Notamacropus eugenii: one gene and its partner. The protein of the gene in region 2 interacts with the protein of the main gene of each other region in a pairwise test. Links are inferred from orthologs where the notes say so. Each region holds a gene or a part of one and is shown on either strand. Other genes may lie near its edges. The genes, in order: FXYD domain-containing ion transport regulator 3-like and CREB3L1.

What was found.
Region 1: the proteins of CREB3L1 (region 2) and FXYD domain-containing ion transport regulator 3-like interact in binary tests that used the Homo sapiens proteins (3 or more experiments, as listed by UniProt). The two-hybrid records come from large-scale screens. The link is inferred for Notamacropus eugenii from reciprocal best matches to the Homo sapiens genes CREB3L1 and FXYD3.

Annotation. Positions count from the first base shown.
Region 1 is NC_092876.1:32,518,607-32,527,695, reverse strand, and holds the start of FXYD domain-containing ion transport regulator 3-like, read right to left. Parts: upstream 3,680-9,089; 5' UTR 3,564-3,679; intron 2,717-3,563; 5' UTR 2,640-2,716; coding exon 2,600-2,639; intron 1,588-2,599; coding exon 1,525-1,587; intron 476-1,524; coding exon 443-475; intron 208-442; coding exon 184-207; intron 1-183. Other genes in the region: IgGFc-binding protein-like, read right to left, coding at 6,500-6,500, 7,181-7,373, 8,068-8,620. UniProt on the Homo sapiens protein: Associates with and regulates the activity of the sodium/potassium-transporting ATPase (NKA) which transports Na(+) out of the cell and K(+) into the cell.
Region 2 is NC_092877.1:4,550,240-4,558,748, reverse strand, and holds the start of CREB3L1 (cyclic AMP-responsive element-binding protein 3-like protein 1), read left to right. Parts: upstream 1-4,969; 5' UTR 4,970-5,459; coding exon 5,460-5,561; intron 5,562-7,363; exon of another isoform or gene 7,364-8,509.

The DNA of each region.
Region 1 (9,089 bases), on a different chromosome or scaffold from region 2:
TGATGACATCAATATTCTTTCTCGCTTCTTCTGGACTGTAAGCTCCCTCAAGGCAGGCATTGTCCTTCCCCAGCCCACCGCTACATTCTCTCTTTCACCTCTCCTCTAGATTGCATTATGCCAAGCAACTTCCATCCCCTTCACCCCAAGACCTTGAGAAGGCAAAACCAAGGATGCTCTTACCGTAATAGAAAGGGCTGTTTTTATCTGAAGGAAAAAAGAGACAATGAGAACGTTATCAGAAGGGAGAGTGCCTGCAACCTCAAAGAAGCTTGGGGATTAGGGGCAGGTGGGTAGCACAGTAAACAGAGCCCTGACTCTGGAGTCAGGAGGACCTAAGTTCAAAGCCAGCCTCAGACACTTATTAGCTATGTAATTCTGGCCAAGTCACTTGACCCCACTTGCCTCCCTCCCCCAAAAAAGAAGCTTGGGAGTAACTCACCAGCTGGGTCATTGGCTTCCAGGGCAGGCAGAACTGAGAAAGAGAAAAAGCAGAGGGAGAGTGGAGTGTTGGCAACCCAAGACTGGTTAACCCTTGCCTTTTGGTGGTTGGCTCTGGGCACAGGCAGATATCTGCCTGCTGTATCCTTCAGTAGGGGTGACTCCTCAGACTGCTGGTGGAGGGTGGCAAAGGCATGCCTCCAAATGGGAGATCACACAAACCCTCAAGTGTTCAACAGCATTTATTCACCTCATTCTCCTCGTGGTGAGGAAAAAAGAAGGAAATGAGCTTCCCCATCTCGTTTGAGGTTCCTACTAAAGGTATTTACACCTGCCCTTTAGTGCCTTCCTTAGCCATGTCTCACAAGGCACCCATGTAACTGTCTCCCAGTACTTCAGCATCTCTTCTCTTAGGGACTCTGGATTTCCAATCTCATTCCAGCTGCTGCTACTGACTCCAGCATCTTAGATGCCCTTCCTCAATACTATTGACTATTTCTGGCCTCTGATTGGGGAAGGCAGGTGTTTGAGCTGCCTTTTTGCCCCCTCTAGGAACACAGACCCCTAGTGGCCCTGGCCTCTTCAGAACGTACTTTTTATTGGCCTCTTAGTAGAAAAGCAGGGGCAGTTAGGTGGTGCAGTGGATAGAGCACTAGTGCAGGAATCAGGAAGACCTGACTTCAAATCTCACCTCAGACACTTGACACTCACTAGCTGTGTGACCTTGGGCAATTAAACCCAATTGCCTCCTCCTGGGTCATCTCCAGTCATCCTGATGAATATCTGGTCACTGGATTCAGATGGCTCTGGAGGAGAAGTGAGGCTGGTAACGTTCACAGCCCTTACTCACTCAAAACAAAGTTAAGTGCAAGTCATGTCATCACATCTCTGATGGCATGGTCTTCTTTGGCAACGGACAAACACACAGTAGAAAAGCAATGACCCTATCTACAATGGTTTCTGGAATGCTGCTCAGTTTGGGTTAAGGGAAATGTAAGAGGATCAGAGGCAGTATCTTTGGGCTCAAGTGAGGGAGAAGTCCAGGAAAAGGAACAGTCTTTCAGTCTGAAAACTGGCACTGACCTGCCATCATCAGTAGAATGCCCACTGTTGTCCCAAGCATCTTGGAGGTGAATAAGTTGGACCCTGTTGGGAAAAACCTCAATGGAACACATGCTTCTCCTTCCTATTCCCTCTGCCCTCCCCCACCCCCAGCTCAGCAACTTCAAACACATGTACACATGGGAGCAACACAGGGACGAAAGTCTTTCTGTTGAACCCAGGGCAGGAGATAAGAAGGAAGAAAGCAGATAAGAAGCAGAGAAGGAGAGGGGCAGATAAGGGAGCTGGGGGAGGGCAGATGCTGACTAAATTTCTCCAAGGAGGAAATAGGAGCACTCTGCTTCGTCTGCAGGAGGGGTGGTGAATGGGGCCATGGAGGAGTCTGAGCTAGTTTTGGGGTAGGGGCAAAAGGGAGGAGCCCAGGCCCAGGTGGCAGGATGCCTGTATTTGGAACTGGCTGAGGTTTCCTTGCTGGCAATCTCTCCCACAGACAGCTCGGAGCCTGAATGGCCCATCCCTTCTTTGGGCTGGGGTCCAGAGCCTGGGGCTGGCCTGGCATATCTGGCTGTTCTTGGGGGAGAGGGAGGAGGTCGTGACTGTGGTTGGTTGTGGGTGGGCAACAGAGCAGACAGGACAGCTAAGCCCCAGGGGGCCAGAGGCTGCTGCCAGAGCTGAGAAGAAGTCGTTGCAACTCAAGAGAATTATATGAATTCCTCCAACCTGGCTTCACCCCTCTTATTTTGTGCCCTTGGATCCTCCTCCCCACCTTCTGTGCTCCAGACCACTTCTACTCTATACAGTGACTCAAAGCCCATCTGCCTTTGGGAAACCTCCCTACAGTCTCTTTCTGGGGTTAGTATGGGCTTGTGGTATTTCTTCAATCCCTTTCCCCTTTTATAATGATGTCCTCACTGATCTTTGGGGCTGAAAGGCAATGTTCTAGTTAGTGTTGACTCATGGGATCTCCATGTTACTACTAAAGTCCCTGCCTCCCAGGAATATTTGTCATGCCCCATTAATGCCACCTCCCTGGGTTATGGCCATTAGATTGTGGTCACTGCCTGAGGCTGGCTGGTACTGCAGGGGACCTCTTTACCTTGAGCCCCTCTCTTCCTCCAGGTGGCTGTGAACCACATCCTCCATTACATGCATTACTACTGCCAGAAGGTCATGTTAATATTCTGCATTCACTTTGGTTACCCTGCAGAAAACACTGAAGCGAATTCTTCCTTTATTTTCTGTTAGTCCACGTTATTCTGGTATCTTTGGTCATAGTTCTGCCTTTCCTATTATTTCAGGTTACTGTGATACACTTCATTACTTTTTGTTAATACTGTGGTTTCCTTGTGACTTTGATATACTATCCTGTTCCTATTTATGTTATAGTACCGCATTCCATCCTGGTTTCTGCGCCCAAACCTAGTCTGTGACTTAAGCTCTCCAGACTACAGTACTCTTTGCCTCAGTAGCTATACTTATAACTAGGTTTCCTTCATTTAGTGGGCACATTGCTACCATTTCATTCTAAAATGGTTCATCCCAACCCCTTCTTTGTTCTTCCAACAGACTGAGTAGCGGCTCCCCCAACCCTTCTCCATTATGATCGCCATCATGCATTGGGTGCCCTGCGTTACTCAAAGGGACCAGCAGACTGACTTTCCTGCCACCTGGGCTCTTCCTCTTTATTCCTTCTGTATCCCAATGCTGCTTTATGGCAGAACCCTGCTGTTTCCTTCATTACTTTTCTCCAGTACTTTAAAATCCCAAAATGCTACCTGTCCCCAAGCTCTGAGGGCTTTGATTCCCAAGCAAAATCTCTCTTCTCCAGCTCCATTCAACCAACTGTGACTTACACAGAGACAGCCCTTCCCCAAAGCCCAGGAACAAGGGAAGGCCCTGGGTAGAAGAAGCCAGAGGAGGAGGAAAGTGTCAGGGGAGAGGTACACACAAAAAGATAACAGGCATAGGAGGGTGGAAAGTTGAAGGTGGGGGAGGCAGAGCCAAGGCTGAGGGGACACGATTAATAAATGGAGTTAGAGTAGGGGGCTCTTGATGCTCACCTGGACTGCAGGACAGAGCTGGGAAGTAGAAGGAACCGCTGCTAGTGAAGCTAGGCCTGCCCCAGCCTCTTTATACAGAACAGACACACCCTGGGCAAAACCAGGCAGGTAGGGAACAGGTCTGACTCCCTGGGGCTCTAGCAGAGCTCCCCACCCCCGCCCCACTTGCTCTTAAAGGGGCAGTCTGGCTTCTCTTCTCAGAAGGCCCAATCTGCCTACCTTGACCCCATTCAGCCTCTAGGCCCTGACAGAACCAGAGCCTAAAGTTAGTTTATATACATATGTATACACATGAGGAGAGGACCAAGGCTCCTCTTCTTGGAGTTGTGGGGAATCCTTTCAGAGACCTTTAACCTTCTTTGTCTACCTAAAGCCCAGCTGAAATGGGCCAACAATAAGGAGGCTTCATAAACACACCCTTGAGGAAAGACCTTTGGAGCTGTTTTGAAAGACCCAGCTATCTGTAAAATCATCAGGAATGGGATGGGGAAGATATAAAAGCAGATCCTTTGGATTAGGGCCTGCAAGCCCACCCAACCATTCACCAGCAGAGCAGGAGAGATAAAGAAGCCAACGCACTCTCCTCCTCCCCCCCTTTCCCCAATAAATATTTTGAATTGCTGAGACAGGCTTCCTGGGCCCTGGCAGGAGGGTGCGAACCGCAAGGTGGAGCGGTTGGCAGATGATGGATTATCTGGGACCTGGGAGTGGCCTGGGCTGGGTAGATTAAGGGCAACACTATGCACATAGTGTGGAATTAATGCTTACTGACTGACTGATCAACCACTTGTGGACTGAAGTTCTGTTCCCTCTCATTTCTTTTCCCTGCCCATAAGATTTATTCGCCCTCCTCCTAACATTCCTCCAGACAGGGGTCCATATGGAGCCCAGGATGGCCCTGGCCTTTCCATTTGGGGTAACCACTGCCCCAAGCTGCTCCTTCCCCACAGAGAGAGCTTTGTTTGGGGGCTGGACTGGGAACAAGGGGCTATTGAAAGGCTGGCAAAGGATTGGGGTCATAGGGAGGGGGCAGGGGCTGGCAAAGGAGACGCTTCTGTTCCTGTTCTGGTCACCATCTGGAGCTTGGGTGCCCCCACTCTGCCTCCTGGGGAGGAGCCAAGAGGACCACAGGCAGAGAAGAGCCAGGCAAAAGGATAGCAAGGGTTGAGAGGAGGCCTTGGCACCTCTTTGAAGGTTAAGGTGGTGATGGAGAAAGCTGAGGGACAGAAGAAATAGCTCTGGAGTAGAGTTAAGGGGAATAAATGCTCAGGAAAAATGGCTCAGGGAGAGTCGGGCCCTGTTACTTCCCAGCAGAGGGGAGGGGAGAGAGGCAGAGAAAGAGAGAGAGGGAAAGGGAAACTCCCCAGAGCCATCTGCTGTCTGGATGTGGTTTCTCCAAGGCGTTTGTCAATTCCTCTGAGTCAGACCCAGCTGGCCAGGGCCTTGAGCCCCACCTTGCCCTCTGCAGCAGGGGAATTCAGCCCCCTACTTTTGGAGTCTGAATGGGCTCGAGCAAGCGTCTTAGGTGCCCAAACACTTGGAGGAGGGTGAAGGTTAGAGATTTGACCTGCAGAGAGATGGGGGCTGCTGCTTGGAGGAGATGCTTTGACAGAAGATTCAGAGATGTTGATCCTAAGCTTGGCAGCTTTTCTTTACCTGGGATATGAAGGTCCCAGTCTCCCTGGAAAGTCCCCTGACAGTCTTCTTTTCCCAGTGGCTACAAAGAGACCCCAAGATGACTTGGCCACGGCACAGCATTGCCCTCTGGTGGGGGAGCCCCAGAAATGTGCCACTAGACTTATCTGGACACCCTGGTAGGTCCTGCCTCCCAGGTCAGGGTAATTCAAATGGATATGCATTTAATTAGCATCTGCTATGTTCGAAGTGCCATGTGCAAGGAAGTTACATCCCTGTCCCCTGCCCTCTGTCCCCTGCCACATGTACCCTATGCCTGTGCCCTGCCTTCTGTCCCCCGCCTTTTGCTCCCTGCCCCATGCCCTATACAAGGTGGGCCATGGCCTTCCCCTGTTATGCTACAGAGTGCTCCCCACTCTTGGCACTCATGTGCCCCCTCCTCTAGTCCCATACTAGGAAGGCAATAACACATGCAGAATATTGACCTGCCCCACTTCTCCCTGATCTAGCTCTAACTTTTCCTAGTCCCTGTGCACTAACCCATGTTAATCTTTCAGTAAACAGGCCTTTAATGAATACTTCTTATGGTCATTGCCCTTGAAATCTATACTGATGTAGTCATTTCATACATTTTATTTGCCCAAATAGGCAACCAATTCCCCTGAGCAGGGACCAAATCAGATCCTTGTATTACCTCCCCTACAGCAGTCAGGCACAGGACTGGGGAGGGGAAAACATCTATTGAATGAATGGATGGATGGATGGATGGATGGATGCTGACAACTTGTGGGGAAGGATAGGAATGAGAAACACAAAAAGAGATGGCGTAGTGATGGCTGAGGCCTCTTGGACTCTTGTCTCTCCTTCCTACCTAGCCCACCTTGAAAAAATGCTGAGTCTCAGCAGTTTGGTCTTGGTTCTGGGACAGCATAGGAAGGACAGCAGCCAAAGCTGTGCTCAGTGTGTGAGTGCCTGGTGTGGCTTTTCTTCTCCTATTCCCCACCTCACCAAGCCTTTGTGAGCCAAAAGAACTAGCTGATCCATAGGTCTTCTCCCTTAGTCTCGAGGCCAGGCAGCAGATTCTGGCTTAGGCAGAGACTTCTGCTAGTGTTTTATTGCGACTGGGTTGAATTGTAGAAGAGATCTGGGGGGATTTGTTGCTGCTTGCATGATGTTATTGGCTTCATGTTCTGAGCTCTGGGTGGACCAGATTCAGATTTGGCCAGTGTGGTTCCGCTGTAGACACTTGTGACTGCTCTGTGGTCTCCACAGAAGCTCAGAAGCCTCCTTAGGGCTCAGTTCCTGTAGGAGGAGAGGAAGGTAGGAGTCCACAGGGGATGGAGCCCCAACTAAGAATTAAGTTCAAAGTCAGTACCAAGTCTAACTCTCTGATGCTCACAAGTCAGACAAATTAGGGGATGTTCATCTGTCGGATGAGGATAACCGCAGTACCTGCCCCAAGTGCCTTTATAATGGTTGGCATGGTTGGTGTCAGAAATAATTCATGTGAGAGCCCTTTGAGACTTCTCCTCCACTGACTGATGGTTCCCTCTAAGCAAGAAGGTACTGGCCCATTGGTGGGTGGGGCTGAGCAGGCAGGAGAAAAGCTTTCCTGGCATCAGGGGATAAGGAGAGAGACAGGCTCTGTGGTGGGCATGGCACTTGGTGCATAATAAAGACCTTTGAGGGTAGCAGGGATTGGATGCTTAAATTCTGGAGAACAGTGTGGCAGAGTGTAGATCACTGAACTCACACTGGCATCCCTCCTCTGTTACTTAATCCCCTCTGTGATCTGGGATGAATCACTTAACCTCTTGGCCTTAGTCTTTCTCTCTCTCAGATGGGAATGGGACTAGACCCCCTTTCTAGCTCTAGAGCTATGATCTGTGGTTAGCAGTTCCTGTGGATGAGGGCGCCCAGTGTGGGAGCACCAGCTGTCCCTTTCCCCAAGACTATATGGGGTAGACAGGGGGGCAACTCACTAGGCAATGCTGACTTTGGTGGCCACAGTCATGCTCTGGGGCTGGGAGGCAGCTGGATCCCTGAGGCAGGTACCCATCATCACAGATGCACCCTCAACACACAAGAGCCCATACTTCAGCTCAGAGCCAGGGCAGGAATGGCAGCGAGGGCAGGCACAGAGCTCGTAGTGGCTGTGCTGGGCACAGTGGGGGGCTGTGGAGAGAGGACAGCAGAGGAGAGGAGACGAGCTGAAGAGAGCCCTGGAGTGTGCATCCTCACTAAGCTGCTCCATAGCCATAGGGAGCCTCTGAGGTCTGAGAGAAGCCAGGACAGAGGGCCCTTTCTCCTGGGCTCTCTTGCCATGAGGTGGTGACAGAAACCCCTCCAAAAGTCTTCTTGGAAGGTCCTCTTCCTATGAAGCCCCACAGACTTGGAGAAACTTCTCTACTCTCTGTCCCTTCAGAATATTGGGCTTTGGACTGATTTGCTGCTTTCTAAGTGCTAAGGGCATTTCCCAGGGAAAGTGAGCTATGGATTCTTTGGGTCTTTGCTTCATCCAAACCCATGCATCTGTACACAGAGGTTGCTCCATTAATAGATAGCCTCAGAGTCAGTCAGAAGAGACCCTTCCCAGCTATGTGACTATGGGCAGATCACTTTAGCTCTCAACTCTCAACTCATTGGTAAAGAGGGGAATAATCCCTTCCTTAAAGGAGGACTAACTGAGGTGTATGATAGTATTTTGTAGCATGTCAGTTCCAGCCCTGGGTATCATTTTGATAGAGAAGGAGGGCTGGAGTCTGACAGTTGGCCATCATCTCTGTGCTTTGGCTTGGGCCTGGTATTGGGCCTACAGACCTGAAGCCCCAAAGGCATAATATGGGAGTACGGGGACCTGCCCACTCACCACAGAAGGAGGGGCTCCTCCAGTCCCTGATGGTGACATTTGCTCGCTGACAGGCAGCAGCGTAAATCTGGTTGGTCAGGCATAAGACACAACTGTTTCCCGTGGAGAGGCATAGGTCATTGGCACAGGCAGAAGCAAAGGGTTCTGGATCAATTTCCATGGGGCGAGAGGAAAAGGGCCCCCAGGGGTCTTGGAGGATCCAACACTGGACCTTGGCGGGTACAAGCTGTTCCTGGGCCATGCATGCTGGACATCCCTTGGCACAACTGTCTTTACAGCCATCATCCGGCTTCCATTCAGAGGCAGAGTAAGTCACTGGGTCCCCCACTGGGGAACCTCTCGGTAGCTGGAAGTCATCCCCACTGAAGTTCCCATATAGCCCACAAGTGTGGTCCATGTAATTTGGGGGCAGGGTAAGGAAGAGGCTGTGGACCAAGTCAGAGGTGAACACTAGTCCAAAGTGTGTCTGCAATGTTAGGTGGAATCCATCCTGGTACAGGAGGATATCTCCCATGCTGAGGTTCAGCAGAAGGGTGAATGTAGCCTCATTAACCTGACAAGATGGAAAGTGGATAACTTAATGACCGCATTCTCCTTCCCCACTTGCCCTGCACCCTCTTAGGTAGGAAGGGAGGATTGGGGAATTTTGGGGCAAGGGGTAAAAAATCACAGGGAACAGGGTTCCAACTACCCACTGATCATCCAAGAGAAGGTCTGCTGATGGTCAGGGGGAACTGGAACGGGAGTAATGAAATGGGCAGAGAGAGAGTTCACATCGATATTAAATACATACTACACACATACACACACACACACACATATATATATATACACATATATATATATTCACATATACATGTATATAACTGTTACAAGAAGCAAGCATACCTCTGTGTTTCCCAAGCCCCACCAACATGACTGTGGTGGGCATTTACCTCTCCAGACTAAAGAGAAGTTCTACGGAAAAGGTAGCTGCAGACCACTCATCCCAGCTCCGGTCAGTTCTGTATCCGTGTTTCAGA
Region 2 (8,509 bases):
AACTGCCTCGTATTCCTTTTCTACATCTTCTGTATATGCTTTAAAATAGTATGTTCATGTCCTGTCCCCCATTAGAACATAAACTCCTTGAGGGGAGGTTTGTTTTACTTCTGGTTTTGTATTCTCAATGCTTAAATACCTGACATATAGTAAGTACTGGATTGTTATAAATGTCTATCTCTATGTGCAGAGATTGGACCTAGGAACAGGAATTTTATAGTATAGAGAGAGAATGTCTAGATGAGAAAACAGTGGATAGAACAGTGGGTTTGGAGTCAGCAAGTTCAAATCTAAACTTAGATACTTACTAGTTGTGTGACCTTGGGCAAGTCAACCTCTGTTTGCCTCAGTTCATCATCTGTAAAATGAGCTGGAGAAGCCACTTCAATATCTTTGTCAAGAAAACCCCAAATGGGGTCACAAACAGTTAGACACGAATTGAAATGACAGAACAACAACAACAGAAACTGTGTCTACTGGCTGACAGATAGTGGTCAACACAGCAGGGGAGCTTATGAGCTGTTCTCATATTAGGAGTATAAACCTTCAGGGTTACCCCTAGAACCTAGTCGTAAGAGGTACCTTCTGGGAATCCAACCCTTGAATGAGTGTACAAGATAGAGGTACAGCCCAGAAGGGTATTACATATATATGTATTGGAGACAAACAGGTCACCCCTGATGTCTGCTGGACCATGGATCACTTCTGGTGGGTCACACAGCCTCTGGTTTTACTTTTATTATCAACCTATCTACATGCATGTGTGTATGTATATACACACATATATATATACATACATATAAACACATACACATATACATATGTGTATACATCAATATGTCATCAACTCTTTTTAAAAAATTATTGTGGCATAATCCCACTTCAAAAACTTCCACTATCATTTCCTGTGGTACTTAATGCCTCAAACACTAAAAGGTTAAATGACTTGCCCAGGGTTACATAGCCAGTGTGTGTCAGAGAGGTAGATCCTGAGCCTAGCTCTCCAGCTCCAAGGCCATCCCTGTATCCACCATATCCTGTCTCTTCTTATGTATTTTCTCACTTATGTAAATGTTGCTCCTACCCCCTTGTAAAATGGTAACTTCTTGAGGGGAGGCACTGTTTTGACACTTGGTCTTTGTAGCATCAGCACCGAGCCGGGGCCCACGACATAGGAGCCTCCTAGACTGGATGCAGTTGGATCCCAGTCCCTCCACTTGACATCCTTTCTCTTCTTTCTGCTTCTCACTCTTCCTTCCCTTCCCTCCTCCTGGGAGCTCCCCTCTCACAGACTTCACAGAGATACAGAGACCAGAGTGTCTCCACAGGATTAATTTAGATGGTTTCCTACAGTGTTCACCTGGGTACAAATCAAGAAAGAGAGGAAATTCTAATCCTATTTCTCTGAAACTCTGTAATCTTCCCCAATCACTTAAATGGTGCCTGTGTGTCTAATTACAGGGCAGGCTAGGAGGAATGTGGCCCACTTTCCAGTTACCCCTAGGCAGAAGAGTTCTTTTGGCCCATCCTGTGGACCCCAGTCCCTGCCCAGGACACCTGCTGAAGCAATTCAGGAAGTTCAGACTTTGGGGGGAGAGTGGTCCCCTAAATCAAGCCCATCACCTCAAAAGGAGTTGTTCTACTTGGCCAACTGGAATGAATTTGGGGAGAATGAGTACCAGCTGTGTTTCTCTGCTGCTCAAAGGAGCATCTGACCGACTTAACACATCTAGAAATTCACTTCTTGATTTCTGTGTCTGCACAAACAGGGTCCCATGACATGGCACTCTGCTTTACTCCCACCACTGGGCAGATGACTCCCAAACCTACATCTCCAATTCTGCTCCTGCTTCCAAGCACCACACCCACATAACCCACAACTGGACAATTCTATCTAAACATTATCCCAATAATAAAGAGATGGCCTCTTAGGCCCCTTAGAATGGTTCTAATAATAAACATTGACTCAGGATCTGAGTTCAAATCCTGTTTTGGTAAGACGTTTACCACCTGAGTGGATTTAGAGAAGTCAGTTAAGTTACCTAGGCCTCAGTTTCTTATCTGTGAAAAATGTATATCCCCATTCAGCTCTAGGCCCATGATACTCTGATCTCCTGATAGGGTTCAGAACTGACCTGCCTCACCTTCCATTTTCATCCTTTCTATCCATGGCAATCCTGCCTTCCATGTTCCAGAATTTTGGGTTATCTTCAGCTTTTCTCTCTCCCTTACCTCATTCAAGTTGTCATCAGTCTCTACTGATTTCAGTTCTGGAAAAGCTCTGTCCTCCATCCCTTTTCCCTTCTCCTGGGGCCACCACCTGGCCAATGAGGCCTGTTAGACTCCTCACGGGTCTTCTCTGAATTCTCTCCCCTGCCATCAATCCTTTACTCCACTAATAGACTCACTCTCTTATGAGCTGAACTGGTCATGTCACTGCTCTGTTCACAAATTTTCAACAACACCCCATTGCCCACCAGGCTAAGTTTCGACTTCTTTGTTTAGCATTCGAGATCCTCCAAAATCCTTGGTCACCTAACTTCCCGACCATCTTTATAACTCTGTATGACTCTGTACTCCAGCCTACCTGGATGTACACTGCCCCTTAATATGCTCTGGATTTATCTTTGCTTCCCCTTTACCTAGAACACCCTTCCTCTCACCCTCAAAAGAGGCATTAAATATTTGCTGAACGAATGAATGAGTGAATGATTGAATAAATGAGAGTGAATGACACATAAGCAGACCAAAGACTTTGGTAGAACAGCAGGCATCTCCAAAACCTGGCCTGGCTCCCACTCCCAGCCCTTCTCTGGATCTCATGCTTTACCAAAGAAGTGTGACAGGAGCCGACATTCACACATTTAGTGATACACAGATTCCTGAAAGACTTGAGTTCCTGTGCTCATTAAAAGTCACAGGCAAAGAGGACAGAACTTAATCCTGTTAATGACTTCTGAGCAGAAACTGTGTGCCCTGCACTCTTCGAGGGCCCTCCTTCCAGACAACACCCCATTTGCTCAGGGGCCCAGTGGATTGTTTATCAATCCTTTCCAGGAGATTGAGCTGTTCCTGGGAGCTGGTGGCTTTGATGATGGATCGTGGGGAGTGTGTGTATGAAGTGCCAGGGGGTTGGAGGGCACAGGAGAACCAATCAGTTCTTCCATTATCTGGCATTGTTCTCTTTCTTCCTGTTGGTTCAGAACCAGGAGGTGAGTGTGTGGTTGGGGGAGGGGAGTTGTCAGCTGACTGCAGAGAGACTTCTCCAGGTGGGTTTGCTGTTTCATGAACTAGTGTTCCCCATCTAGTTAAGGGAACTGGATAAACACAGGGAAAGGAGGTGAAATTCTGAAAGCTGAGGCAGAAATTCCAAGAAAGAATTCCCCTGTCCTTTGGTCCGTCAATCAACAGGCATTTATTCCAAGCCTTCTGTGTCTCCGGAACTGTGTTAAACAATTCTTGTCATTTCGGAGCCTCAGTACCCTCATCTGTAAAATAGACTAGGTGATCTTCAAAGTCACTTCCAGGACTTTCTGCGAGGTGCTTTAGTCAGTAAAGACAGGCCCTCCATTCAGGTTACAGAGATTTTTTTTCACACATGATTATCATTTGAAATTCAAGATAATTCCTGTGAAACAGTCTCTGCAGATGTTAGCTGCGCTTTACCGGTCACTAAGAAGTGTCTGGAGTGAGATATGAACCCACGTCTTCCCGATTCTAAGTCCAGCACTCTCCCCATTCACTAGGAAGCTGCTGAGAAAAGGAACTTCTGAGAGATTAGCTGATTTGCCTAAGGCCACAGACTTGGGACGTCCAAAGAGAACCCTGGTCTTCCAAAACCAGCGATAAATCCGTGCTACCTCTCATAAAGTCAAGGACTTAAAACTAAAAACGATAAGGTATTTGGAGTCAAGGAATTCCACGTCACAGATCATTCAACAACCAGAACATAATCGATTTCTCCCCCGCCTGGCAGAGAACCTTGAACACAATAGGCATTCAGTAAATGCTGAGTCAGATTGAATTCAATCTCTTTTCGGGGATCGTGAACCCGCTTCTTGTTTAGTCTCTCTCCATGACTCTATGGACCATACTGTCCATGGGGTTTTCTTGGCAACGATAGTGGAGTGGTTTACCATTTCCTTCTCCGGTGGATTAAGGGAAATAGAGGTTAAGTGACTTACTCAGGGTCACAGAACTGGATGTCTGAGGTACGATTTGAACTCAGATGTTCCTGATTCCAGAACCTATCCACTGAGCCACCTACCCTACCCCTTCCCCTCGCCCCCAGGACCTAGGCTCTTGGGCAAATCTTTCCCCTTCCCTGTGCCTCAGTTTCCTTATTGTAAAATAACAGACTGATCTGAAAAACCTCTGAGGTTTTTTTTTTCCATGACTAAACCTATGATCCCATCAACTACATCTAGGACCAGCTAAAGTAGTGCTCATGAAAAGGTTTTGTTCAGTTGAACAGAATTGAAGGCCTACTATGCGCAAGGCATTTTGCTAGGCGCTGCCAGTGTTTCTATCCCGTGTGGTGAAGGAACAATGACCTGGAATTTTCTAACTCTCGGTTCCTTTCTGCTGTTATTTCCATAAAACGACTGGAACAGAAATGCCTGGCACTTGCCAATTATTGCCGGGGGAGGGAGGCTGACACAGCGACTAAAAGCCGGGGGGTCTGTGGCCACCTGCTGAAGATTCCTTAGCTGAAGGCTTACTCTCTGCCCAGGGCCTGGGACTGGTTTCCCTTGTAGTCCCACGGCGCCCGCAGTCATTAATCATTGCCCTGGTTCGGGGGCAAACATTCTGCACGCAGAGAAAAGGAACGGCAGGGTTGGTCCTCTAAGAGGCTGCCTCTTTAAAGGGACGGGTCTGGAAGAGAAGGCACGCCCCCAATCTCATTACTACTAAGGAGGCCCCTGAATATTGAGGAGGTGGGGGTGTGGCAACCAAGCCTAGCTGGCGGAGCTTGGGTTTCCCGGCTTTGGAGACAGGGAAAGTGACAGTAGAGTGCGGAGGGGAGAAACGCACCGAGGGAGCGGGAGAGGAGAAAGCTCGCTCGGCTCCCACCCAGTCCCGGGGGAGTCCGCAGCTCCCCCGTTCCCGGCTCCCGCCCAGCCCCTGGGAGGGGCGGGAGCCCCCACTTCTCTGGCCCCAGCCTCTCCTTATGGAATCTCGCTTTGCCCGGGGTGGAGGAGAGATGCCCACCGTGCGCCGGGAGCCCCGCTGCCCTGCCGGAGGCTCACGGATGCCCTGAGCCCACACTCCGGCTGCACCGCTGTCGCCGTCGCCCCCGGCCAGACGAGGCTCCAAGATCGCCGGGGGCTTGCCGGAGAGCTGCCAGCCCGAAGGCGAGCTTGGTGGCCTGGACGCCCCCAGCGCTGGACTGACTGAGCCGGGCAGCAAAGGGGGTGTTCTGCCCGCGCCACCTCCTGGGAGCCCCCGAGCCAGACACCATGGACGCCGTGTTAGAGCCCTTCCCAGCAGACAGGCTCTTCCCCGGCTCCAGTTTTCTGGACCTGGGCGATCTCAATGAGGCGGATTTCCTGAGCAATGCGGTAAGAAAGGCCAGGGGTCCGCGCCCAGCGGTCACTCGTGTCCCCAGCTGCTGAGCGCGCGCGCACAAGCACACACACACATACATACACACACACACTCACGCACACACACAAGCACACACACACGCATGCATACACACGCACACACACACATACATACACACACACACTCACGCACACACACAAGCACACACACGCGCACACACACACACACATACATACACACACGCACACACACATACACACACGCGCAGACACACACGCACACACACGCACACACCACGGAGGCAGGCAAAGGACCCAACTCTAACCCCCTGGCACGGTCTGGCGTCCCCCGGGATACAGCAGCTGCGACCCTGTGCGGGGGTCAGCCCCAGCGAGGGAGGGGCGGGAGGAGTGGGTGTAGTATTTAGATCCCGAGTGGAAGAATGAGGTGACCCAAGGAAGAGGGCTGGGGTAGGAGCGAAGCAGAACCAGAGCCCAGAGTCGCCCTCGGGGTCAGCTCGTTGGCGCTTAGCCTCCTTCCGTGACATGTCACCCACTCCAGCCCTTTGGCCGGTCATGAAGGCACGATGCTGGCAGTGGAAACAATGGCAGCCCTGGGAGGGGGCAGTTGTGCCCCTCTCCCTCACTCCCCGCCCCCCCCCTTGGAACCTGGTTTCCTTTCAAGGCCAGCTGGCCTAGAACCCGGACTCCGAGAGACTGAGATCTAACCGCTGCCCCAGCTCCAGCTCTAGCCCCCGGGTGTCTTCTGAGCTTGCATTTCTACCTAGCTCCGGGGAGTCTTCTGTAGCTTCTGAGGGAGGAGAGGGTAGAAAGTCTCTCTTGGCAATAGGGTCATTCTGACTCGAGGAAAGAAACTCGGATGATTCCCCTTTCCTCCCCCCTGTCCCTGTCCCCCCACTCCCCCTTTTTGTTCCCGAGAGCAAAGGGTGCAGTCTGATCTTGGGGGAAGATGGGAGGGGGTAGTCTGCCGAAAGCCAGAGAAAGCCTGAGCCTGGCGCCCCTTCGGGGACACAACCTGGATCGACGCCAGACCAGGCGTTCAGGAGATGTTGCCGACTCCCCACCAACCTAAGGCAAAATATCAAGAGAGACCCTCAGCAGAGAGCTCAGGGACCAGCCCTGCACTCCCCACCTTTGTAAGAATAGGTTAGCAATGGGCAGAGAAAGCTGGCATTCTCTCTTCTCTCCCCACCCCACCCCCCCAAGGAAATGTGTCCTCCCTCCAGCAGGCTCAGCCCCAAGGCCCTGATGGTGAATGGAGGGGGATGGGGGCAGGGAGTGCACTCAGTCACGGGAGAAAATATTTGGCTTTGGAGGGATCTGCCCAGTTGAAATTTCAGGACCCTGTGTGGCTTGGAGGTATGCCTGTGGTTTGGAAGTAAGTCCAGACAGGCTCCCAGCAGGTTAATTCATCCAAGGGCCAAGTTCCCCTGGGTCCTTCAGGCCACCCAGGCCTTTCTCAGGACCCAACCATCCTAGGTGCAAAGTCAGCAGTTAGACTCTGAGAACTTTGCCAGAAAAAAGCGGAGAGCTCAGTACCCCGATATGTTAGGGGTAATCTCATCCTGCACCCTCTACCACCAGGGATTGTCTCGTTACAGAAGAGAAAAGTGAGGCTGCTAATAGGGTATTGACCAGATTGTAAATGGCCTCATTAAACAGTAAGCCCTTTGAGGGTGGGGATCATGCCTTATGTATCTTTGTTAGCCTACAAAGCACCAGCATAGGTCCTCAATCAATGTTAGTGGAATGCGTGAATGCATGAATGAGTGAATGAATGAATGAATCTGCAGAGGTATGAGTGGCAGAGGACCAGCTTTTAAATCAGGGGAACTGAGTTTTAGTCTTAATTCTGTTACCATCTGTACGACCTCACTTTAAAGTCACTTTAATCTCCCTATACCTCAGTTTCTCCATCTGCAAAATGAAAGTGGAGAAGTCAAATCAGATTATTTCTAAGGCGCCTTCCATTTTCAAGTTTATGAGAGGGTCTTCTGCTCATGAGAAAAAGAGGCAAGGCAGCCTAGTCCCATACTGTAAATCAATTGACGTCTAACACAAGTCTGAGAAACACAAAGGGGATGTGTGGCCTCTCTGCTTGTGATTTATCCAAAATAATAAATCCTGGCATTTATATAGCCCTTTGAGATTTGCAAAATGCTTTTCTTATGTTATCTCGTTAAATCCTGACAATTCCCCCAAGACAGGTTCTGTTATTTCCCCCACTTTATAGATGGGAAAACTGAGGCTCAGGGAGATGAAGTGACTTGGTGGTCTAAGTTGTTAAAGTAGTAAGTAGCAGTCACCCGCATGGGACCAGATAGCTAGTAAATGTCTAAGTTGGAATTAGAATCCAGAGCTGGCTGATTTCTAGTTCACTGCACTGGCCACTCTACGTCTGGGGAGAAGCCAAGTGCCCAGGTGCCCAGTCAGTCACTTGTAGTGTTTCTTCATGTTGTCATCTCAATGGGAAGGTCTCTCCTCCCGGTAAGGGTGGGGCGGTCTCTGGGGATGAGCTCTGTGTTAGACAAGGGGTTTCCAGGGGCTCTGGCCACTGCTGCTCCTTGGACAACCTGGAAAAAAAAATATTCTCGCCACTTTCCCTCTGAATTCTTGGGGCCATGCCTGGATTAGCTGAATTCCTACATCCTTTGCAGTTCTAATTCTCTCTCAGTCTACTCGCCTTGAGGTAACCAGTTTTGATCCTAGCTTCCCAGCACAACCCTGAGATGAATGGAGAGGTTGAGGGAGTGGGGATTCACCTTGCTGCAGCCAGGCACTGACAACCTTCTCAACGCGAATAGGAAGGTGGGGAGGCTCCCGGCTCTGCCCCTGAATTGTAACTTTTTTCTGAATAAACTCAGCAGACTCATCCAGCTCCCCATTCAGACCTTCACCCCCAGCTACTCAGCTGGGTCACAGCCCAGCCACAGTGGATAGGT